Linked DNA regions of Alligator mississippiensis. The protein of the gene in region 1 purifies or fractionates together with the protein of each later gene. This does not show direct contact. Links are inferred from orthologs where the notes say so. Each region holds a gene or a part of one and is shown in the gene's direction. Other genes may lie near its edges.

Region 1 (11,735 bases):
CTCTTCCCCCATGCCCTGCCTCAGCCTTTTTACAGTGGCAGCACACAGCTGTTGGCTTGGCTTTGCCACAGCTGGAGCAGGATGGCTGGGGGGGACCCCCACCTTGCAGGCTCCCTCCAGCTACCCCTGTTGGGGTCTTTAGGAGAGCCAGGCCAGGCCCATGAGGCTGGTTGGGGGGGGGGGGGGGGCTCCATTCCCATCCCCCACCTCAGCTCTGGCCATGGCAAAGCTGAGGGGCAGCTGCATGCTGCTGCTGTCAAGAGGATGAGACTGGGGGGGGAATGGAGTCTCCCAAGCTGCATGGGTCCAGCCCAGCTCCCCTTAATATCTCAGCTGGAGTAGCTGGGGGGAGCCCACAAGGTAGGGTGGCTCCCTTCCCCTACCTCCCTGCCTGAGCCTCTTGACAGTGGCAGCATGGAGCTGCCAGCTCAGCTTTGCTGCTGCTGGAGATGTGGTGAGGCAGGGAACGGAGCTTGCCTTGAAATGCAGGCCTGGCCTGGCCTCTCCCAAGAACCCGGCAGGGGTAGCTGCGGGGTGAGGGTGCATGGCGGGGGGCGCAGGGACTCCCTTTCTCCCTGTGCTTGGCGGCTCAGGGAGGAGACAGAGCTTTTTCTGTTTCCCTGCCAATAGCATGGCAGGACTGAGGTCAGGGCTGGGCCAGTGCTTGCCTGTGAGCACCAGCCCAGCCCTGCAAAGGCCTCTGGGATGTGGATGGAATAATCTCAAATTAACCCTTGGTCAGTGTGTCTACACATATATTTATGTGAGCTAAAATGTAATGTGCCTTTGCTTAAGGTGCATTAAGGCGATTTAGACACGTGTCTACCTGTCGGTGTGCTAATGTACATTAAGGTGCATTAACTTTTGGGTGCAATTAGTTAAGTTGCATTAGCCCACATGCAGATGTGTTAATATGCATTAAGCATCTTCACAGGCTAACGTGACTCAGTTAATCATGCCTAAACTTGCTACTTGCTTTATGCAGGTATCAAATTTAGGTGAGATTAGCCTAAAATCACCATTTTTAAGGCACATGCAGACACACACCCTTCATGTGCCTTAAAAATGGCAGTTTCAGGCTAATCCCACTACCCCCAGGGGTATGTGTAGAAATGCCCGATGTAAATCTGTATACAGGTTCAATAAAGCACTCTGCCCTAGAGCACCTTCGTCTGACATTACATCAGATGAGGTTTAACTTTTCATGTGATCCTCCATGTTTAAAGCACTCTGCAGCCCTGAATATTTGTTGTTATGGCTACAGAGCATTTTTGGTGGCCTCATAGCATGAAAAGAATAACTTCTGTACACACCCATAACCTAAGGAAGAGGTTTTCAGAAGCATTTGGACTATATCTGCTTCCAGGAAATCAATGGAACTGGGAGTTTTACGATCAGCTTCAGTGGGAAAAAAATCAGGCCAGTGCTGATTGCTTTTGCAAATTTTACCCTAGGTATAATATCTTTCTCAATATGCAAACATATAGCACGGCACATTTTGAAAGTATTTGTCAGTATTTCCCTAGCTGTTAACCTTTGGTTTCTGGTTCTTAAATGATTGCTTTATTCTTTTTGGCCCATAAATAATAATTTTCTAAGCAGAAATGGAAACTATAATGATGGATAATGATGGTATAGTTCCTCCTTAATATTTAATTGTATGTATTCTCATTATTCAAAGTATTTCATTACTTTATTTATCAAATCAGTGCTTGCTTGCTTAGTAAATTTTTTGACACTCTTCCAACTACTATTTCCATTCTTAGCTTTCTATATGGTGATCATATTCTTTCATTTTAATTATTTTTTATTATGTAAAATAGGAAAAAATGCAGAAGATATATTTTTCAAGAAGTGAAAAACAAGAATGTCATAGATGTGAATTATAGAATTCTTTATTTTTGAAGAAATCTATCTATCTATCTAATGTAATGTGTGTGTTTTTTATATAACACACACAACACCCTTCCAAACAAAGGCTTACAAGAAGAGACAAAATAATTTACAAAAGCAACATATAAGATCTATAACAGAGACTCCCTATCCCAGAGGTTCCCAGACTTTTTCCTGTTGCATACCCCCTTCCAGATTTACCAGCTCTACCAGCATATGTTTTTATGTTTTATATTTTAACCTCTTAAATGCCAATTATTATAATGACATTTAGATCCACCACTACACATTTTTCTCCTGAGTACTTGCCAGAGATGTCTTGCACGTACCACAGTTTGTGAACCCCTGCCCTTATACCATTCCCTTACTTAATCTTGCTTGCTAAATGCCTGCCTTAATAAGGTCTTACACTGTTTCCAGAAGACAGTTTTGCATATTGTATATTAAATAGGAGACCTCCTCTTCATAATAATTAAATTAATTATTGCCTGGATTCTAGGTGCTAATTATTCATTAGTTTTGACATTTCCTTTGAGAGATGACCTTTGAGTCATAATAAGTAGGTCAAGCTTTCCAGCATTTAGTAACTAATACAAAAACTGGTTGGGTATTTTCCAGCCAAAGTTTTGAGAACTGTACTATGGTTGCTTCAGTCAGTGGGCCCCAGAGGGCAGTACCAGAATTTTCATTTTTTTTTTTTTATAACTCATCTTAAATTATCCTATTACAAAGTAGCTGGCTATGTTTTGAGCACTTTGCTCTTGTGAGTAACTGTGCATCCAGTTCCCTCTAAGAGACTTACTGTCTAACCAAAGACTTATCCAGGTGGTTTTTGTGGCTGCCTCCCACATGGTAATAGGTGTTGAAAATCCCTGACAACAGAAGCCATAAGGCCAGAGAGAGAGAATATATTTATAGAAGTCCATAGCTTCCCTTTCTGCATCCTTAAGTACGTCTTGCTTAGACCTTCATCCAAAAATCAAATGACTTTTTGCTAAAGCATTTGAGGGGGCACAAGAGTTGGTTTTCTTTTAGTGTCCTCAAGTCCATGATTCTGCAAAGGTGGGTTCATGTTCCTATGGACCCATGTATTAGCAGGCAGGGGACTCTGATGTGTACAGTAAAGGGTGGCGTGATAAACAGTTGCATGTGGATGCTTCTCACAACAAGTTTCTGACAGGTTATCTGACCACACAATGCCTAACATGGGTCTGTGCTGAGTTCTATGTCAATTAGACACAAGGAAGACATCCTTTCTTCTGACATGCTGTTTTGTTAAGGTGTCTTATGTCTTGTGTTCTCATGGAAAAAAAATGCCAGCGATTTAAAAATAGATTTAGTTTTAATTGCTTGCTTATAAAACAATCTTTGCATATTTTCCTCTTTATCAACAGTTTGCTTTCTTCATCTTTGAAACAATAGTACAAATACCCAGCAGGTGTTAATTGGCATTCCAGGGAAGACAATAGTCATGCTGGTTTTACTTCGGCTGCAAGTTTGAATGGAGGTAAAATTAGCAAAGCTGTTTTTTTTGTTTAACTTGATATAGCACCTTATCTCACTTTAGCATTTGGTTTTGCCAGTATTGCCCCTGAACTCAGCATAGCTCTGCTTGTTAACTAGTTCTGTTCTAGCCTTGGCTCAAAGTAAAAAAAGCATTTCATATCAAAGAGAAACCTGAGCTTTAGCTCTAGGAATAGAAATTGTAAGCTAATTATTGAAGCATAGGTTCCTGTAACCATGGTATAAAACAATTTGTCACACTGAAGTCAGTCATTGCTTAAAACACTAATTGGAAAAGCTATGCCAAGCCCTCATATAACCTGACAGTAAAAAAGCCCAAACATGTAAAGCAGGAGTCCCTTAATTTTCTTTTAAAGGTGGTGATGGAACAGCCAACTATGGTCTTCAGTTTGAGGGGCAAAGTTTATTACACTCTAGTTCTTCCTCCATGTTTTGTTCATTTTATTTGGAATACAATAGCACCAAGCATTGGCCCTGATTCTTGTTTGTCCTGTTGTGATGGCTATGGTTACACACAAGTTAAAATGCAAACATGACTTGGTGACCTCACAATTACAGCTCTGTTGAGAAAGGCATTTTCCATTTTGTGGAGGATTTCAGCACTCCAGGTTCTGAAGCTGTCAGAGGGATGGAGCAGCAGATGCAAGGCTCAGGCGCATACTGGTGTCCTGTCTAAAATGATAAACTCTGGGAACCCAGGCTAACTAATGTGCCATGAGCCTGACACATTAGTATCTTGTGGTGCTGGCGTTACAGGCATATAAGAGCTAGTGCTCCTAGGGCTTTCAGGTCCTTGGCTCTCCATCAGCCTGTTAAGACCAAACCACCTGGGACCATGGTCTCCCCCACAGCTGGTCAGGCAAGCTAGGAAATGTTTAGACAGGTTTCTATCAGAACCCAGCTGGCTTTCTGTTATGATTCCATCTTCCTTTCTGGGACATTTTGACTTCCCTTAGCATTCTCTGGTGGAAAAAACCAGGGCATTTCTAACCTGGTCAAGTCACAGTTTCTGTGTCAGAGAAGCTCTGAGAGAGAGATGAGACACTGGTGGCTGAGATAACACTAAGAAAAATGTACGTGTCTAAGAAGTAACTTATCAGTTTCATCTCAATGTCAAGTGTGCCACCTTGTGTTATAGAAACAGCCTTGTACAAGAGGTGTAGCTTGGAAAGGCACTTCCCTAATACAGTCTTCTAAGGTAAAATTCTTTGCCTTTGTCCATTTGTCCAGAGTAAAAGTAAATCAATAGTCTTAAAGATGCTACTATTTAACTCCCCTCTCCCCCTTGCAGAGAAGAGCTTTGCTGTCTCTCCCCGGAGCCTTAACTGTACCCCTGAAGCCAATATCCACATAGGTTGCTGTCATAGAAACATAGAAAACAAAGGCTGGAAGGGACGTCAGGAAATCACCTACTCCAACCGCCTGCTCAAAGCAGGACCAGCCCCAACTAGATCATCCCAGCCAAAGCTTTATCTAGTCGAGTCTTAAAAACCTCCAAGGATAGAGATTCCACCATCTCTCTGGGTACTTGTTCCAGTGGTTAACTACCCTCCTTAGTGAGAAAGTTTTTTGCTAATCTCTAATGGAAACTTCCCTTGCTGCAACTCAAGACCATTGCTCCTTGTTCTGTTATCCGCCACCACTGAGAACAGTCTAGCTTCATCCTCTTTGTAACCACCCTTCAAGTAGTTGCAGGCTGTCAGCTGAGTGAGTGGGATGGATAGGGCCTTTTTTCCCCAGGTGGCCAGAGGGACACAGGATCACAGGTTAGCCTTCTGGGAAAACAGATGGTTTAATCACAGTCAGGCTATAACCCCTGCCCATGGGCAGATCTAGGATTTTGAAAAGTGGGGGTGCAGCTAGTGTGGTCTAGCAAATACAAGACCACATGCATTTTTCTGAATCAGTGTTGCCAACTTTTATGATTTTTAGAGTTGTTTTTAAAGTCTATGCTTTGGGAATGTGAACAACTTGGCTCTTTCTTTTATATACAGTTATAGTTATATATAAATGTATAAAAGAATGAGCTAAGTTTTTCACATTCCTGAAACATAGACTTTAAGAATAACACCAAAAATCATGGAAGTTGGCAATACTGCTTAAGTTAAAAAGAAACTAGAAGCTTTACTAATACGTATGGGCCTAGAGTTGTATTATTTCATTTAAGATTGGAGCAAAACAAAAAATTTGGAATTTCGATATCCTATCATATGTTATATCTAAAACCACAACACACTAGGCAAAAATAATCCAATGATGTAGTTTCATTTGTCCTGGAGTCATCACAGTTGCATGCATGTCTGGTTTTCGGATTCATGAAACAAAACCAAGCCTCCCTGAGCATCTGGACAGTGCCACTTCCTTGAAACCAATTTCCGCACCTGAGCTAATGCTCACCTGAGGTAACACTCACCAGAGTTAATCTTTTTTAGCTAAAGCAGCGGTTCCCAATCTGTGGTACAGGTACCACCAGCAGTATGCAGGCAACCTGTCAGTGGTACGTGTTATAAATCATAGTATCATAGTACTTAGGATCGGAAGGGACCTAAACAGATCATCAGGTCCAAGCCCCTGCCCCGGGCAGGAACAGGTGCCGGGGTCATATCACCCCATTATAAAGTAATTGTAATCAATCTGTTAAGACAGAAATTTGCGGATGGCACTTAAGGTTGAACTGCAAAAGTTGCTGGCGGTGCTGAAGGTTGAAGCGTTTTAAATGGGTGGTGCAAAACCTGTCAGAGTTTGGGAACCGTGGAGCTAGAGTTACCACTCCGTGGGGCTGCGAGATGGAGGAGCAGGGAACAGCAGGCAAAGGAAGGTGAAGCGAAGTAGCGGGCCCAGGCAGACCATTTAAAAGGAAAGCGGGTCCTTAACACCTGTGGCATGAAGAGTTTAGCAGGAAGCCAGAGACTTCTTATGAGCTACCAAGGCACTTGACTGACCCCTCCCAGCTGCCTGGCTAGAAGCGCTGCTGCCACAGCTTAGGCTTCAAACTTAGGCTAGAGCAGGAATCAGAGCGGGGTGCAAGTGCAGCCCTGCCCTCCCACCTGGACCCTGCCTTTAAAGGGACGTCCAGCGCCTGTGCTGGCTGCTGCCTTCCCGGGGCTGAGATCAGACACAGACACCCACACCCCGCAGCGCCCTTGCCACCTGGGTGGCGCGGGGCGTGCGCGCAGGGGAGGGCGGGGAGCCCGCCGCACCGCGCCGCGCCCAGCCGGGAGCGGGGCGGGCGCCCGTGGCACGGGGCCCCGGGTCGGGGTGGGTGGAGACCTCGCACCTTCCCCGCAGGAGCCCAGCCCCGAGTGGGCCGGGCCAGGGCGCTGCCGGAGCCAGCGAGCGCGCCGCCTCTCCTCGCCCCCCCCTTTGGTTCGGGCAGGAGGGGGGCACGGGGACAGCGCTGCCGCCGCTCCCCGCCATGTCTGCCCCCGGCCCCGAGCCGCAGCCCGAGAGGCGCCGCTGGAGCCTGGGCCGGCTGTCGCTGCCCCGCAAAGCCAGCATGCCGCCCTGCGCCAAGAAGCCCGCGCTGGAGCTGGCCGAGAGCGCGCCCGGCGCGCACTACGCGCCCATCCCCGCCGCCCGCGACCCGGGCCAGGGCCAGGGCCAGGGCTCCGCCTGCCCGCCGGGGGCCCGGGACGGCCCCGACCGCCAGCTCCACAGCGACGTGGTGGTGGTGACCCCGGCGCCGCTCAGCCTGGACCCCCGCGTCTCCATCTACAGCATCCGCAGACCTCTGCTGAGCCGCAGCAACCTCCAGGGCAGGGTCTATAACTTCCTGGAGAGACCCACGGGCTGGAAGTGCTTCGTCTACCACTTCACCGTGTGAGTAGCACCCCGCCTTCACTGCCCCCTGGCTTCTCACCTGCCCCCGCCTCTCTGCCCAGGGCCTCCTCGTGCCTTTTTGAAGCCTGAAAGTGCCCCTGGATAGCCTCCCACGGACCATGCCACTATTTTGTTTTCTCTTCCGTTGTTTGGCAACTGGGAAATACCAGCCTCTTTCCCTTGTTGCTGAGAACTGGGGATGGTTGGGTGGTTTTAACCCCATGGAGCCCTCTCTGCAGTCTCTGGGGTTGTCTTGTGAGTTGTGATCACCTTTGCTCGCTTGGCAGCACTAGTGTGTAGCAACCCATGGTGCCCTTGAAAAGATCTCCAGGCACCCTAGGGTGTCACAGCATCCTGGCTGAGTCCTCTTTGCAGTCTTGGGGTTCATCTTATGTCCTAACAATGCTGTTGTTGCATGGCATCCTTTGGCACCCTTGAAAGGATCTCAAGGCACTCCAGGGTGCCCCAGCACCCAGGTTGGGAATCCCTGCCCTATACATCCCTCTGCTGTCCCCGACAGCCTGTGCTGAGGCAAAAGGGAGCAAGCAGAGAGCGTGTTTTCTTGGGCTTAGCAAGTGTAGTCGGGCTGCCGAATGATCTGACTTCTTGAAAAGGGCAACTGCACTGAGCTCTCCCACCTTTTGGCCTCCAGACCAACCAAACTGATTGGCATAGTCAACCACAGTAAATTTCCCACAGCCTCTGGCTTTCTGCTGTTTTGTTAATTGTTTTGCTGCTCTGCATCTGTCAGAGGAAAAATCTTACCCAGCTGCATCGGGGAGGTGTGTGTGCTGCATGTTTTATGCAATATGTAAACTCTTTTCAGTTGCTTTTTTTCCCCCCCTAACAGATAAAAAACCTACCTAGCCAAGGGACTATAAATCTTGCCATCTTGACTGACCTGTATCTATTTTTAATGAATGTGTTTGACCTGTGCATGTGTTCTGTTCATTCATTACTGTTTTTGGAGAGCAAGCCATGAAGTGTTGAGAACTCTTTATTCCTACCACGTTACAGAGCAAATAAATTTTGCTCTGCACAGGGCACTTTAAACTATGTGTCAGCACTTGTTTGAATAATTATTCCAGGCTTGATTCTGTTACCTGTTTGCTTCCACACTGACTAATGCTTGATCCTGTGTGCAGTCCATGGAAGTCAGTAGAACTGTTCATTGACTTGGGAACAATGTGACTAATCAGCCTCAAGATGAGCCAGGCAGATGGAGCTGGTCCTCAAGACCTTAAGATACATTTCAGAAGACTCGCATTCGGTGGATGAAAATTCGTAATACCAGTTCCTGTACTGGAAATTGCATGCTAGCCAGTCATCACTTTACACAACTTCTTTTTTCTTGAATTGATAGGAGGGTTATTAAATAGCTCTAATAATTAAGTTTTGCGTACTTAATTTAGGGTTTTTTGTTGCGTATATGAAGCACTGAAGACTAAAATTTTCAGTCTTTATTCTGGATTGTGATACTTGAGGCATATCCACAGTGACTCTACGGATGTATCAAAAGTGGTGGCTGCTATTGCTGCTGGTGTGTGTGTGTGTGTGTGTGTGTGTGTTTTAAACAAGCAAACTTGTGTCTGAATCCAAGAACATAAAGGGATAATAAATATTAGACGTGGCATGTTTTCTTTTATAAAGTGGCTTTTATTCTTCCAATTGACCCAAATTACTTTACTTTATTCTTCCTGTTGGTTTGAGAACGATACAGTAGGCTGCATTTTAATGGGCTAATGGCTTGTTTCTAATCTGCATTTAAAACCTTTTACTTCTTAATTATTCCAAATTATTATTACTTTCTTCCTCATCTCCATCATATTAGGTAGATCGGTTGTGCCACAGAATATGGCAGGAGACATGTTACGTCTATACTGTAGAGGCAGTTGTATCTTTGCCTTTCCTGATTCTGTTACGGACATGGTCCTTCATCACATTCTGTTAAGCCTCATGGTGCATTGTGTATGTGTGTCTCTGTTATCACTCTTATTTTTAGTCAAGTGAAAAGAGGCTAAAGCAACAAATGTTAGAGGCTAAACTGAGTGCAGTGTCTGTAATGTACCTGAAAGTGGAGCAATGTGATGGTTGTGAATTGGTGAAGCAGTGGATCAGTTCTGTTGTTCATCAGAAGCCTACAAATGTATGCATGAAAAATTAATGTTTTTTTAATCTAGAACTTGTAAAGTGTTGACATAACCCTTGAGCAATTTGCATATGCTACATCTGCATAATAAAATAAAAATGAACTGAGATGGATGTCTTGAGTTTGCTTAGTTAGGGAAAAATACAAAATCCCGTGTCTGAAGGCAAAGTGCGTCATAAAAAAACATTTTTGAATTTTGCATAATGCTGAAGCTTCTTAGTCTGAACAGGCTGGGTCAGTTGGTGCTGGCATATCTGTCATTTGAAGGACCAATCCTAATACTGGAAGCTGAGTTAGGTCTGGTGGTGGGGGTGACTTTGGATGACCACAGTAATTTATGGTCTTACTCCATGCCTGAAGTTTTGAATGCTGTATGTAGATGGATAAGCAGTATTAACCCTACCTAAGAAGCTGGAAAAACAGGCATGGAACGTAGACTTCCATGTAAGTACGCTATAACCATGAGAGAATCCATTAGACCAATGACCAACATTTTTCAAAAGTGATTTTTGGGGACCTGATTTAGAATATTTTCAAGGGAGTTGTTTCTATCCTATCTTCTCCGCCCCAAAAAACAAAACAAAACCAACAACAAAACAAAACCACCCAAATCAAATTAATGTGCTTCAGTATTCATCCTCCTTCAGGTGTCCCAAGTTATACATCCAAAAACAGAAGTATCCAAAATTATTTTGAAATTCATAGTTAAAGTCTTTTCAAGTGCTAAGAAGTTCTACTCTAATGTTGGGTGTAGGTAAAGATATTTAAGTAGTAGAAGGAATGGTTGAATCTCCTGAGATGTAAATGATATTTATGCTGCTGTTCTATTTGGAAACCTGTTATTTTAAGCCTTATTCTGTGACTTAAAATGTTACTGTTCATCCTGTTTTCTCCAGAAAAAGAGAGAGAACTTCTATCCTCTCTCTCTCAAAAAAAAAAAAATGATGGAAATGGAAAAAAGAAATGAGATTAATATCTGAGTTTACATAACTTGGAAGGTAGCATAGGTGTGCACCTTTATAGACTGACTAAAGGGGGTGTGTGCACATGCATAGGGCACAAACTTTTGTACATCTGATAAAGTAAACTTCTACTCATGAAAGCTTGTGCACATTTATATCATCTTATTTAACTAGTCTATAAAGGTGCATATCAACCTTGTCTTCTGACTTCAGACTAACACTGAAGTCAGATAGGCATCTGACTGAATGAACACTGAAGTTGGATATGCATCTGGCTGTGGTCATCTGATCCCAGCACTCTTTCCTGCCTAGGCAGGGGGTCGGACTCGATGATCTGTTGAGGTGCCTTTCAACCCAAACATCTATGAATCTATGAACACGGCTAACTGCTTCTCTGCTTACCTAACTTAAACATCACTGCTAGATTCTCAGGTGGTATAGATTAGCTCAGCTCTCTTGCTTTCCGGAGTCATATGGACTTACACCAGCTGAAGATCTGCCTTACTGTTTTAACTAGACTTTTGAAGACAGTAGGTAGTGTGGGCTGATGTTGTCTGCTGTTCTATAGGAGCTAATTAGAGATATTGTAATTCTGTTAGGAAAATAGCTAGTCTGTCCAGGAAGTTTTAATTTATTTTTCTAAGTGATGTGGTCGTTTGCATGCATTGATCTCATTGAGCTTCTGTAGCTCCAAAGAAACTGAACTGATGAAGAACAATAATGATAATTTTTCTTAAACCCCTCAATACATGTTTACAAACTTCCAAGTCTGTGCTTATAACACTGTAAGGCGTGTGGCCTCCCTAATACACTTGCATTCCCTTCTAGGAAGGTATTCAGCAATAATGATTTTTCTGGTGTAGATTTTTTTTTTTTTTAACCTCTCTACTTGCCATCTTCTGTCAGTAGGGGGAGCCGAATTTATGTCTTACTGTGTGTGCAGCCAGCAGCAATCTCTGTTTTTGTATGTCTCCAGCAGTCCTGCTTCCATCTTTGTGTCTTCTCTTACACTCCTCCAGTTTTTTGTTTTTTATGTGCAGCCTGTAATTTTCTTCTGGTCTTGTCTCTGCCTGAAATTCCTTGGGTTCTCATCCTTCCCAACCCATCTACTCCCTAGTACATCCATTGTTCACTCTGTGGCTGGGCCAGGGGTTGATCAAGGTGACCGTCTCTACCAACTGGAGGCAGTAGCTATTAGTAGCAACTGAGAAGAAAAGGTCCTACATCGTTTTGCAGACAGGGGCTTGGAGAGGCCAACTGTTAGAAAGTTGGAAGCATCCATCAGTTTCTATACATTTGGAGAAAAAACTCGGAACAACTTTGGTTAGAAGTTAGGAAGCTCTGTTAGGTATTCCAGGTGATGAACAGGGTGGTCTGATCCTACATAG
Region 2 (11,571 bases), on another chromosome or scaffold:
TAGTCTTCCTGCACATTAGGATGGTTCGTTCCCATGCCTTTGGTAAGGTTTCTTTGAAGTACAGCCAGCTCTTCTGGACTCCTTTCCTCCACAAACTGGCCTCTCAGAGAATTCTGCCCATTAGTTCCTCGAGTAACTTGAAGTCAGCTTTTCTGAAGTCCAGGGTCCTTACTCTGCTGCTCTCCTTCCTTTCCTCAGGATCCCCAACTCAATCAGCTCATGGTCACTGCTGCCCAAGTTGCCATCCACTTCTATGTTCCCCACCAATTCTTCCCAGTTTGTGAGCAGCAGATCAAGAAGAGCAGAGCCCCTAATTGGCCTCTTCAATACTTGCACCAGGAAGTTGTCCCCAACACTCTCCAAAAACTTCCTGGATTGCCTGCACACTACTGTATTGCCCTCTCAGCAGACATCAAAGAGATTGAAGTCTCTCCCCCCAAAGAACCAGGGACTGTGATCTGGACACTTCCACTAGCTGTTTGAAGAAAACCTCATCCACCTTATCCTCCTGGTCTGGTAGTCTATAGCAGACACCCACCACATCACCCTGTTGCTCACTCCTCCTACCCTAACCCAGAGGCTTTCAACACACTTTTACCTTCCTTTTCTCTTCTCCTTTATTATCCCACTCTCTTTCTCTTAGTCATCTATTCCCTCTTTCATATCCTTCAAAAATCTCATTCCTCTTGCATGTTATCAAGGTGGTTTCAGTTGCAGCAGCTGTAAGTAGCAGTTTTGATATCAAACTCATAGGTCAACCAGAATTGAGCCTCTGGAAAGGACTGAAAAGCCTAACTCGTCCTCAATAACAGTGGTGCAACAGTAACACCTGGGGTATATGGATAACACCTGCCAGTGCTTTTCAGTATCTGAGTTACATGCACATCAATCTTTTCTATTCACATCTGGAAAAAAATCAAAATAATCACATATTGTCATATGGGTTAATGATCAAAAAAGCAATGGGAAACAGCAGAAAATGTAAGGTCAGTGAAGCTACTTGGCTGCTTAAATATCCCAATAAGTATCCACCATGTTTCAGAAATGTACCCTTACAACTACATGTCTGTGTTATTGTCACTAAATACATTTGCAACTATGAATGTATCCATTAGAAAATACTATGTCCCATATTTTCTCCTGGTGTAATTGTGCACAGCTCCGTTTTTGTTCTCCATGGGTCCAGGTATATCAGTAGAGAATTTAGTCCTTAAAGTACGATTTTCCCTCTCGTCTTTTTTGCTCGACACCGATCCTTTTGCTTTTGTTTAACACTTGTTCCTGTACTTTTACCTTCCTCTGTTATCTCAGGGCTTCTTGTCAATGGTCAGAGCAGTATACCACCTCCAGCTGGCAAGGCAGGTGCCACTCCTATAAGTCTTATAAGTTGTTGACACTCCTAAAATATGAAATAAAGAACATCAGCCTTACATTCTGTCCTGTATCAATGCACAATTAGGAATATTCTTTCAGCAAATATAACTTACACCTAAATAACATGGCTGTCATCCCCCACTTCCCACCTTCACTATACTACTGTGCTGTGGTTAGCCTATGTACAGAAGTTTAAGTCAGCTACAGCTTTTCAGCTGCAGGACTGGTGATGTGTTGTTGGAAGTGGAAGCTAATGCTTTTAGATCCAGAAAATGCAAGCTTAATTCCTGCTGATAATGACTCAGCCAAAAGACAACCAGATCTCCTTCTAGTATGTTTAATTTTATAACCAATCCCTTCCATGCAAAATTACTAAAATAAAGTAAAAGGAGATATTCCAGGTGCAGCTTCTAAAGCTGGTATCATTCATTATTCCTGGGATCAATAGAAGAAACCAACTTGATTGCTATAGCTGCTGTTTCCCCTCCAAAACAGGCTCTTCAGGATGTAGAATAGGATGCATCAACCAGCCAATCCCCACGCTTAAAACTACCAAGCAGTGGTAAAGCAACATTACTCTGTTGGTACCCAGTTGTGCAGGCTTTATAATGTCAATCAGAAATAACTAATCAAACTATATCCATAAGTGTATACTTACACAAAGCAGTTTCATAAAAAACAGCTTCAGTGTTAATCCTTTGTTACATATTTTAGGATAATCAGTTCTCTCTCATAGTACCAAATGCTTGGTATGTTTTGTCAGAAAATAGATGAAGGGGCTATGAGAGCTGTTTAGGAGTGGGGAAGGAAGTTTTGTATGTAAAATAAAATTCAATTTTTTCATGAACTATAATTTTCCAGGTTTGTTTAATAAAGGAGATCCAGTTATAATACAACTAAATTGTTTGAGCTCAGCTGTTATTAATGATTCTTTATTTTTTATAATGCAGTAGCACCCAGATCAGAGCAGGCATTATTGTACTGTACAAACTAACAAAGACCCATTATCTGTCCTGAAGAGCTTGGGTCGTATAGCCCTGATCCTGATACTGCAGTCATACCCTTGCTTAACATGACACTAGTTGATATCAAAGGGATTATTCAGATGTCTAAACTAAGTATATGCCTCACAGTTTGTGCTATTGAGACTTAAATGCAAAAGCATGATACTAGAGTTCAAAGACGTGTTTCTACTTGGAAAATAAGCTCTAAACAGCTACTACCAAGTGGTCTTTTTATTGCTTATACTTTTTTTTTTTTTGTATTTTCTTTTTTCATTATTATCCACTTGTCAGAAATGACGGATACGGCCAAGGGAAAGGAAGCAGCATTCCTCCAAAGCGGCCAGGGATTTTTCATTTAAAAGCTTTGTGCTATTTAAAATGATGCCTGACCATAACTTTTCTGCCCACCGGTCAGGGTGAGCGAGAACGTGTGTTCAGATTGCCTGGACAGATGCAGGGTGGGGGAAAGTAGTCAAGAAAAAAAAATCAGGCTAATGAATGAAGTGAATATGCAACAGCTCTAGTAAGTCCATTCAGCCTAAATATATTGCTCTAAACCCACGTCCTCTAGTTTCATGCTGCCTCGCTTAGCAGCAATGTATCCCAAGAGTTGCTCTCTGATCAGCCCACCTTCCCTGTGCTCCGAGGGCAGGTCTGGGGACATGAAGCTCCCATCAAACAACTCCCCGAGTCAGGCGATGGCCAGGGGGCAAAGCAGCGCCTCCTTCCCCGGGATAGCGACTGTCCTTGTCCTGCCGCGGCTTCCCTCGGGTCCTGGCACACGTGCTTTCTGCTTCACTCGCCCGGCTGCGCCTCACTGCGGCCACGTGGAAAGCACAAACGCCCCAGGCTCGGTGTGCTGCCGGATCCCCACCCTCTGCGCTGTCTCTGGGGGCTAACCAGCCCACCATGCCTGTGCAGGGTGCTCCTCCTCGACGCAGGGTAAAGGTGAAAGCCAGAGGAAGAAGGAGTCAATTCTCATACAGAAGAAACCATCAGTTTCGAAAGGCTTGCATGTTATTCCGGTGCTGCCACCTAGCAGAGCTTCGTTCCCATTCAGATGTATTGGTTTTTTCAAACTAAGCCTCTGGACCAGGAGATGGCAGTGTAAGACAAACTGAAGTCATATTTTGGGAGCTGCAGTGCATTAAGCATATAACTGAATAGCACGCGTTCCCAACCTACTGTAATATTTAAGACTTCAAGGGGTAATAACTTTAAAGAGAAACTAAATTTAAACTGAATTTTTGGTGCACACCTATTTTTTTGACACGAAAAAAAAGCATGCGCTGCAGACCTGTACAAGGGAAGCTTAGTAGAATTTCTCTTCTAGTAGCAGCAGATTTACTTAACGATCAAGATTTGTAACTTGCAGGAGAGCTGTGTTGTTTTCTGACTGGTGACTGTTTTTAGGAGAACTTAATAAAGCAGGAGACAGTATTGGTAGCTCGTGGTGGTTGGTCTGTTACAAACACAGGATTTGTGTTGCAGTATTGTGTGTTATAATTAAGAGGCAAAAAAGTATCACTGACATAGGATACCACATTGATGCAGTTATGCATGACTAAAGATCAGTTTTTTCACAAGTGTTTTACCTGTCTTCCTTTAAAAGAAAATCTTTATTATTTGCATATCACTTTATCAGATGTAAACTGGATAATTTAATTACACGTTGTTCTTTTTTTTCTTCCCCCCCCCTTTTTTTGTTGCAGAAAGTAGACTTTACCTGCTGCTTACCCACAAAATATGTTCAAAATTGATCTGAGGATCAGATTTCTGTCTTGGAAAACAAAGACCTGACTCTAGTCCTTGGTTACTGAATTGGAAGTCTTTATTTCACAGATAAAGAATACAAGTATTAGCAACAACAAATAAAAATTCCCTACCCACCATCCCATAGTTTCAAAATCAAACCTGTTTTGGTTAACAGCGATTCACAGCTCTGTTGTATGCAAAGACTCCATCCATCTACGTAAGTTTGACATTGGTCCAGAACGCTCTTGTAGAGAATATGGGATGGAGAAGTAAGCCACTAGCATTCTGACCAGTGGTGACAGGTCTCTAAAATGTTTGTCAATAAGGTCTTGGGTAGCATGAAACAAGGAGCAGAGATGCTGGTATTGCCATCCATGTAGCTCCATCAAATTGCCTTTGTCTACGAAGTCATGAAGTAAATTAGTAAAAAAAAAAAACAATGTGTCTAGTGTTGTCATCATCATATTCACAATGGGGCCCAAGTATTTTCTTAAATCAGAGATTCAGAAAAGGCAAGGATTTTTTTTTCTTGATTGATTTTCATTTTATTGTAAAGAAAGCTTTACCTACCTTTACTGGACTAAAAGGATTAACAATGCATTAGGGTAAATCTTGTCCCTAGTGCTCAGTCCGACAACAGAACTCAGGGGTGGAGTAGCTTCAGTGGCTAGATCTGAACAGTATCTGATGCATATGCACAGTAATGGGTCCATTCCCTTAACTAACCTACCTACCTCTTTTCCTACCCATCCCTATATAGCTGTCTGGCACTGGCTTTGGGGAGCCTCTGTGATGATTCATAGGGTGTAGGAATGTGCACTTTCTTTACAAATTCTGCATACACATATACACATTGCCTGATGCTGACCCATTCAAGTTCTGCTTCACTTGAAACCCACTGTACCTGAGGAGGTGGGGAAAAATTAGCCACTAAGTACCCAGGCTAAGCCTCAGGTTCTTAACTGGATTTACAAGTTCTTCTGGGACCAATAGAGCATGGCATGTCAAGCCTTATCCTTTAAATAAAGGTAATAATACTAAAATGCATGGATTTTAGTGTGATGTAATGCTTTAGGACTAATTCTCATTATGAAAGTAATTAACTTCTACAAGATATTTTGGGACATCTTAAGACTTAAATAACTTGGGCTTATTAGCAACTGCAAAATTCAGTAAAAGAATCTCCATTCTAGGCACACGTTTTTCCAGATTTCTCAGTTGTGGCATCCTTTCTGATCCCTGGAGTTCCTCTTTACACATTCAAATGTAGAAATTCTAATCTACTGTGAAATATAATCTGCAGATATCTGAAGGGAGGCAGTGGGAACTGGTTGGTACCTACTCTGGTAAACTAATTTCATTCCCCAAACCTACGGAAAACACATGGACATTGCCTTAAAGGTTATAAGAACTTTCATATTATTCATCAAAGTTTCATATTCTATTTAAAATTAATAAAAATAAATAAAATTAATAATTACATACATACAAAAGATAGGAGGAAAATAATATTGCTTTTTCAGAAATCAAGTACGTACAACAAGCATAAATGAATAGTATTCTAAAAACTTAAAGGAAACTGGGACAATTATGCATAACTCAGAGTAAAATATAAGTTTCCTGTAATATCTCTGAATACGTCAAATGATTTGCTATAGAAATTGATCTTCAGCACTTAGCTGAATTAGCAAATGTCAATCAGGTGCTCTAGAGATAATTAATTAATTACTTGTATTCCTTTCAGGCTTGCTTAAATTACCTTGCCTAATATATTATGCCTCCAGAATAAATTATTCATCTCACTAAACTTGTTCAGCTGCAGACCTTATGCCTCTTTTCAACTACAGTATTTATAGTAAAGCAACAACCAGCTCATACCAACAATATTTGCCACTATAATTGAAGGATAAGATATAATAATGAAAAATGTCCAAAAAAAGATATGTGGCGCTTACAATCTGTCAAACTATAAGCTGCACAACTCCAGGATTCAGAATACAAAGACACTCCTCTTCAGGGGGTATGTATTATTGCAGTTTTACAAGAGGTCTGTGCTTCTCTAATTGTATGAGTTAGTGATTCTTTTAATCCCTTTTAAACTAAAGAGAAACATGGTGGGTGTTCAGAAAATGTGAAAAGCATTTATTTTAAGTTCACACATGCACCTTTAAGGTTTGTGAATGAGTATGCTTGTATATATGTATTGAATGAATGCATGCATAGAATGGGGGGGGGGGGGCGGCACATGTTCAGATGCAGACTGCAACAGTCTATAAAAACATTCAATAAAACTTATCTTGATTTACAGAACACTGTGAATATTTAATAACAATAATAAATAAAAAGAGTCATATGCAGGAAGGAGTAGTATAGTGCTTTTGTTGGATATAGCTTGTAAGAATGGTGTTAATTTACAACTAATGTAGAAGCATCAACACACTTTTGTGACTTCCCAAAAATTAAAATGTTATGTTTCCTTCCTTCCAGTCCAAACTGTTTCATAGGCTTAGATTGTTAATTGACTAAACAAAATATGTAAACAGATAAAAATAAAAATGTGGTTAGGAGACCTTGATCAACCACTATATTAATCACAAGCCACAATGTATGTTTTTAAACAAACCTTGTCATCTTATTCAAGGGGGGTAGAATGCTCAGTTTTCGCTCTTCAAACTATCTCATGTCCTAGCCACTCGGCTTCCCTAGCAGACTTTAACAATCAAGCCTCTAGTATTAATCCTGTCAGAAATTGTACTTCAATAAAAATTTGGAGGAAGAGAGTATGTGCAGAAGAAATGTTTATCATTTTAAATAGAATATTCTATGGTCAATAAGTCAAATACTGCCTGAGATTTCAAAGGCCTTGCACCTATGTACACCAGGACTGAATTTGGCCTTATTAATCTATCTAGCAGTTATCTTATTAGGCTTCTGAAATAACAAACTTTACACATATTACTTAAAATGCTTCCCTACTGCAACCATGGTGACAGTAGCCCACAGCATTCTGGGATCAGTATATACATCAGTGCAAAGTAATGCTCTGCTGAGCTGTGGAGCAGATAGTAAGGGACTGAAAGGGGTGAGGAAACAGAACTGGTGTAGCAGACTGGCAAGGGATGAGGTAAGGTATTTGTCAAGTTAACCTCTTATTCCGTGTTTATTCTCATGCCAAAATGGAAATCATTTTTATAGTTACTGCAACAATCTAATGCTGGGTGTCTATCCTGCTCACTGAATTTCACTGTAAAACCTCCACTAGTTTTTCAACAGAAGCAGGCCTTGATCAAATAGTGTTTTAGGGATAGTCTGTTCTCAAATATCTTATTTTTATATGATATCATTCACAATTCTGTTCAGTCTATTCTTTTAGGTGTAGGCTTTGTACAGCACATCTCAGTGTAACAATAGAAGGGTGGGACTGCATCCATCAGAGGCAGGGAGCTAGCATGCTGCTAACTGACTGATACATTCATTTATATGTGTACACTCACATTTTTCAGCGCAAACCTAAAATAGGAGAGTTGTCATATTGGATGGCAGGAAAACGTTCTGATTTGCAGGGGGGGCATAGTCTTACAAGGCAGTCGGTTCTGAAACAGTCGTGTAGTTCATTTAGGATCTTTTTCCTTCAATATTTTATTTACTATACAACCCATGTATAGTTGGATTCACAAACTATAGCCTGGTATTAAGCTATCTGTCTCTGGTAAGTCATCACAGTATCTCGGCATTTAGCTTTAGGCTTCAGTGACAAATGTATCTGTTTAGTTCAGGGGTTAGCAATTGATGGCCCCTGGACCCAATACAGCCCATAAAGAGACTGTATCTAGCCAATAAAGCTGGGATAGTGGTAGGAGGAATTGGCAGCATTCAGCAGTAGAATAATTGGTCGCACACGACAGCAGCTAGATCCAAAAAACACCTTTTGACTAAGCTCTGTTAATTCAACCAGACACTGCTAAAAGGCTGACCTCTGATCTAGTTCCTTGAAATTCTAGAACTTCTGCGATTCATTCGTGCAACTGAGCAAGGATACACTCCACAATTGTAACTTTCCACCTGAAGTCCTTTCAGACTCTGACTACAGCAGGCTGTAGCAGAGGTGAGATCATCCTATTTTCCTTTGGTTTCTAGCTGGCAAGTAAAACTTCATCTCCACCCTCTGGCATTCCAATTTTTTAAGGTGTACCAGGGAAAACTTCACAAACCAGCAAATAGAAGGCAGGCTGGAGGCAATGAGGAGGGAGAGATCAATTGTTAGGCAAAGTTGTGTGTCCTGATGTCCATAAGGAAAGAGATTAATGCTGTTGCTTTGCACAGAACCCCTTAAGGATAGTCAGCTTTGATAGTCAAAGTTAGTTTTAATGATGTTTATAATAACTGTTGCTTTGTTTTTAAAAATAAATAAATGATTGAAGTGCTGATTTACATTTACTTACGTTGGTCAGGGAATCTCGGATCTAGATTTTAAAATTTGTTTTTATGCTAAAAGTTTAAAGCAATTTACTCATTTGTCTACGGCGTGTACTCAAGAAAGACTAGTAAATGAACCAGGATTATTAAATATTGATGAACTGAGGGTTGACCCTTAATCAAGCAGTGTCTTAAATTAGCCAGTACTGATCGTCTTTCATCTGGGAATAAAAATATTTCTACAGATCAAACTTTAAGTGGCTAAATGGCTAACTGAGTTGTAAACCTACAGACCAGCTGACTTAGTATGAAGTTATATGAATTTCCACTCTATAATTAAAGCAAGAGATGCGCTCTTCTGTTCCTATAAAATTGCAAAGGTTCTCTTCCCATCCCCATACACACACTACTGTATTAGCATTAACTTGCAAGATTTAGGAGGGAAAATTGAATGATTAAGTGTTATCTCTTTAAAAGGAGGGCAGCACACCTCTTATTGAACCAACTGCATGGTTAGGATAGATTGTAGACTTGGGTATCACAGTACCCTTCCTAGGGTGTCTAGAAGAGAAGCAGGCACTGCAGTTAAATAGCAGATGGAACAGGACAGTAAATAGCAGTGTAAAACAGGACACAATGGAAAATGTAAGGTAGCTAACAAAAAAAGAGATGTTAAGAACCTGATGAGTGGATGAACAGCATTGTTCAGGAGGGTCATTATCACCTGTGAAGTAAGTGAGATTAGTGAATATCAAACAGGTTATAATGGATTATAAAGTCACTGTCTATGTTAAGCCCCTGGTTCTTCTTGTCCAATTGTTCTCAGGCATGTCTTTTAATGGAAATGTACAAAAAACCTTTAAGTACTGTACAAAAACTGTGACGTCAGACAGGGAATGATTATTCTTTAAAAATCTTCTCTCTTACCTGTGTTCTAGTGTCTATGTCCTTTATCTTTCTTTGGTGATCGTTCATTTGGTGCATGGCACTCTTTGTTCTGGTTTCACCCATGTAGTTCTTGTGAGGGCATTTGGTGCACTGGATGAGGGAGGACCCTTGGATTCTGCTGGTTTTACTATGGGGAGTATTGATTCTTTGACAATAGAAATTAGTTCAGAGGTCTTGGATTTACTTTTGTGGCAGGGCTGGGTCCCATTAGGTGCCTGTTAATCAATAGGGAGTTTGCTTGTGATGAACTTGGAACCAGTGTTCTCTGCTGCAGTGTGCTTACTGGGTAATGACAGTTTTTTCATTTTGGCAAGATCAGTGTTGCATGTATTTTCCTCAGAGCAGATGTGTGTATCTGAAGGCCTGACTAGATTACAGCTTTTTGGTGTGTTTGAGATGATTGCTGGTTTTGTGGATGTAAATGTGGCAGTCCATGGGTTTTCTGTATACAGTGGATTGTAGGTTGCCATTCTGGGTGTAGATCACAATATCTAGAAAGCTGATATTAGTGTAAGAGAGAATTTGACTGAAAAGTGGTAGTCAATAAACCTGTGGTGGAAGTCAATAAGTGAGTCCAGCTGTTCTGTCTAGATGATTAAAATGTCAGAAATGTAATGAGAATATAGTGCAGGTTCAGTGAAATTTTCTAAAAATTCTTCTTCCAAGTAGAATTTAATCAAATTGACATACTGTGCATACAATAGGTTGGGTTCATGTGCAACTCCTTTAATACATGGCTGTAAAACTCCAACTGGGGAAAATGAAGCCTATCATTTCTTAACAATCATTCATGGTATCATTTAATTATAGGACTTGGGGGTCCATAATTATCTTAATGCAATATTTAGTGATTGAGAAATTACTGTTACAATGTAATGCATGTGTGATGAATTAACAAAACCTGGCTACTATTTCAATGGCCTTAAACTCTGTCTACCAAAGAGCAACATAATTTACATGGATGATATGACTTGCTCATTCTTGGGGTTAGATCCAAAACCTATTGAAGAAAGCCATTCAATTTTCTGCAGTTTTGAGTTGAAGGGTTTTTGTTTTGGGTTTTTGTTTTTACTGATCCTAGAACATAATTTTAGGGACTCTCTAAAACTCTACTTTTATTTTTATGGGAAAAACTTCAACTTTTACTTACAAATTATTTGTTACCTTCCTTAACTTTTTTCCAGCACAGCCAGTGAATAGATGCTAGAATTTGTCTGCTTCATGAATGAGCTGCTAGCTAATTGTTACCTTCAGGCAACCCTTTATTTTCTTTACAGGCTAACTTGAAACACAATTCAATTTATGAACTTGTGCACCTGTGTAAAGGTAGCTGACTTGTGTATCTACATAAACCCAAACACACCCTATGCCTGTTTGGGATTAAAAATTGATTTAAAAAATTTATATAAAAATTATTCTTTCTTTTAAAATCATGAGACGACCATAAGAGTTTTTTTACATGCACAGATTTGGTTTAGCTTGAATGTAAAACTTGGTTGAAAGAGTAAGAGGCCCACGAGTTTTCTTCCCAGTCCTGTTCCATAACACCTTGCAAAATGTATTTCACTTAACATTTGAGTACTGCTGGCCCTACACTTGACATTTGAAAATTAAACAAATGCGCAAGCCCTCTTTCCATGCCCCCTCCACCCCCAGTCCTGCAAATAAAATTCCAAGTAATCCAGAACTTCAGAAAAGGCCGAGTTCTGAAAATAAGTGAAAGGAAAATCTTATTTTATCTACACTTATGTGATCCATTCATGTAGCTTCCACTAGCAAGGCCTAATGGCTCAAACATGAAGGTTGAGAACCCATGACTTTTAATCTTATTTTTCTACTGGTTTAATAGTCTTGTCTGCATGGAACAGACTAAAGTATTCCATTCTCTCTTCTTCTCCAGGGGAAGAAATGAGGTGAAGCAGAAATATGGCCCATAAATATCTTTACTATTATGTCATCTAATCCATTTACAGCAGATCTGGCTGAAAGATCTGGTTTCCAGTCTTCTTTGAGTGCCAGCATTGTTGGAAATGCTTCAGTGCTGGAGTAAAGGTGGATATTAAAACAACCAGAC

Evidence for each region.
Region 2: the proteins of KCNQ1 (region 1) and AKAP9 purify together in Homo sapiens (affinity purification with western blotting; 3 studies listed by BioGRID and IntAct, with this or other methods). This does not show direct contact. The link is inferred for Alligator mississippiensis from reciprocal best matches to the Homo sapiens genes KCNQ1 and AKAP9.

The regions. Positions count from the first base shown.
Region 1 is NC_081825.1:188,958,144-188,969,878, forward strand, and holds the start of KCNQ1 (potassium voltage-gated channel subfamily KQT member 1), read left to right. Parts: upstream 1-6,680; 5' UTR 6,681-6,832; coding exon 6,833-7,236; intron 7,237-11,735. UniProt on the Homo sapiens protein: Pore-forming subunit of the voltage-gated potassium (Kv) channel involved in the regulation of cardiomyocyte excitability and important in normal development and functions of myocardium, inner ear, stomach and colon.
Region 2 is NC_081828.1:176,116,416-176,127,986, reverse strand, and holds the start of AKAP9 (A-kinase anchor protein 9), read left to right. Parts: upstream 1-6,010; 5' UTR 6,011-6,059; coding exon 6,060-6,153; intron 6,154-9,071; exon of another isoform or gene 9,072-9,280; intron 9,281-11,571. UniProt on the Homo sapiens protein: Scaffolding protein that assembles several protein kinases and phosphatases on the centrosome and Golgi apparatus. Required to maintain the integrity of the Golgi apparatus. Required for microtubule nucleation at the cis-side of the Golgi apparatus.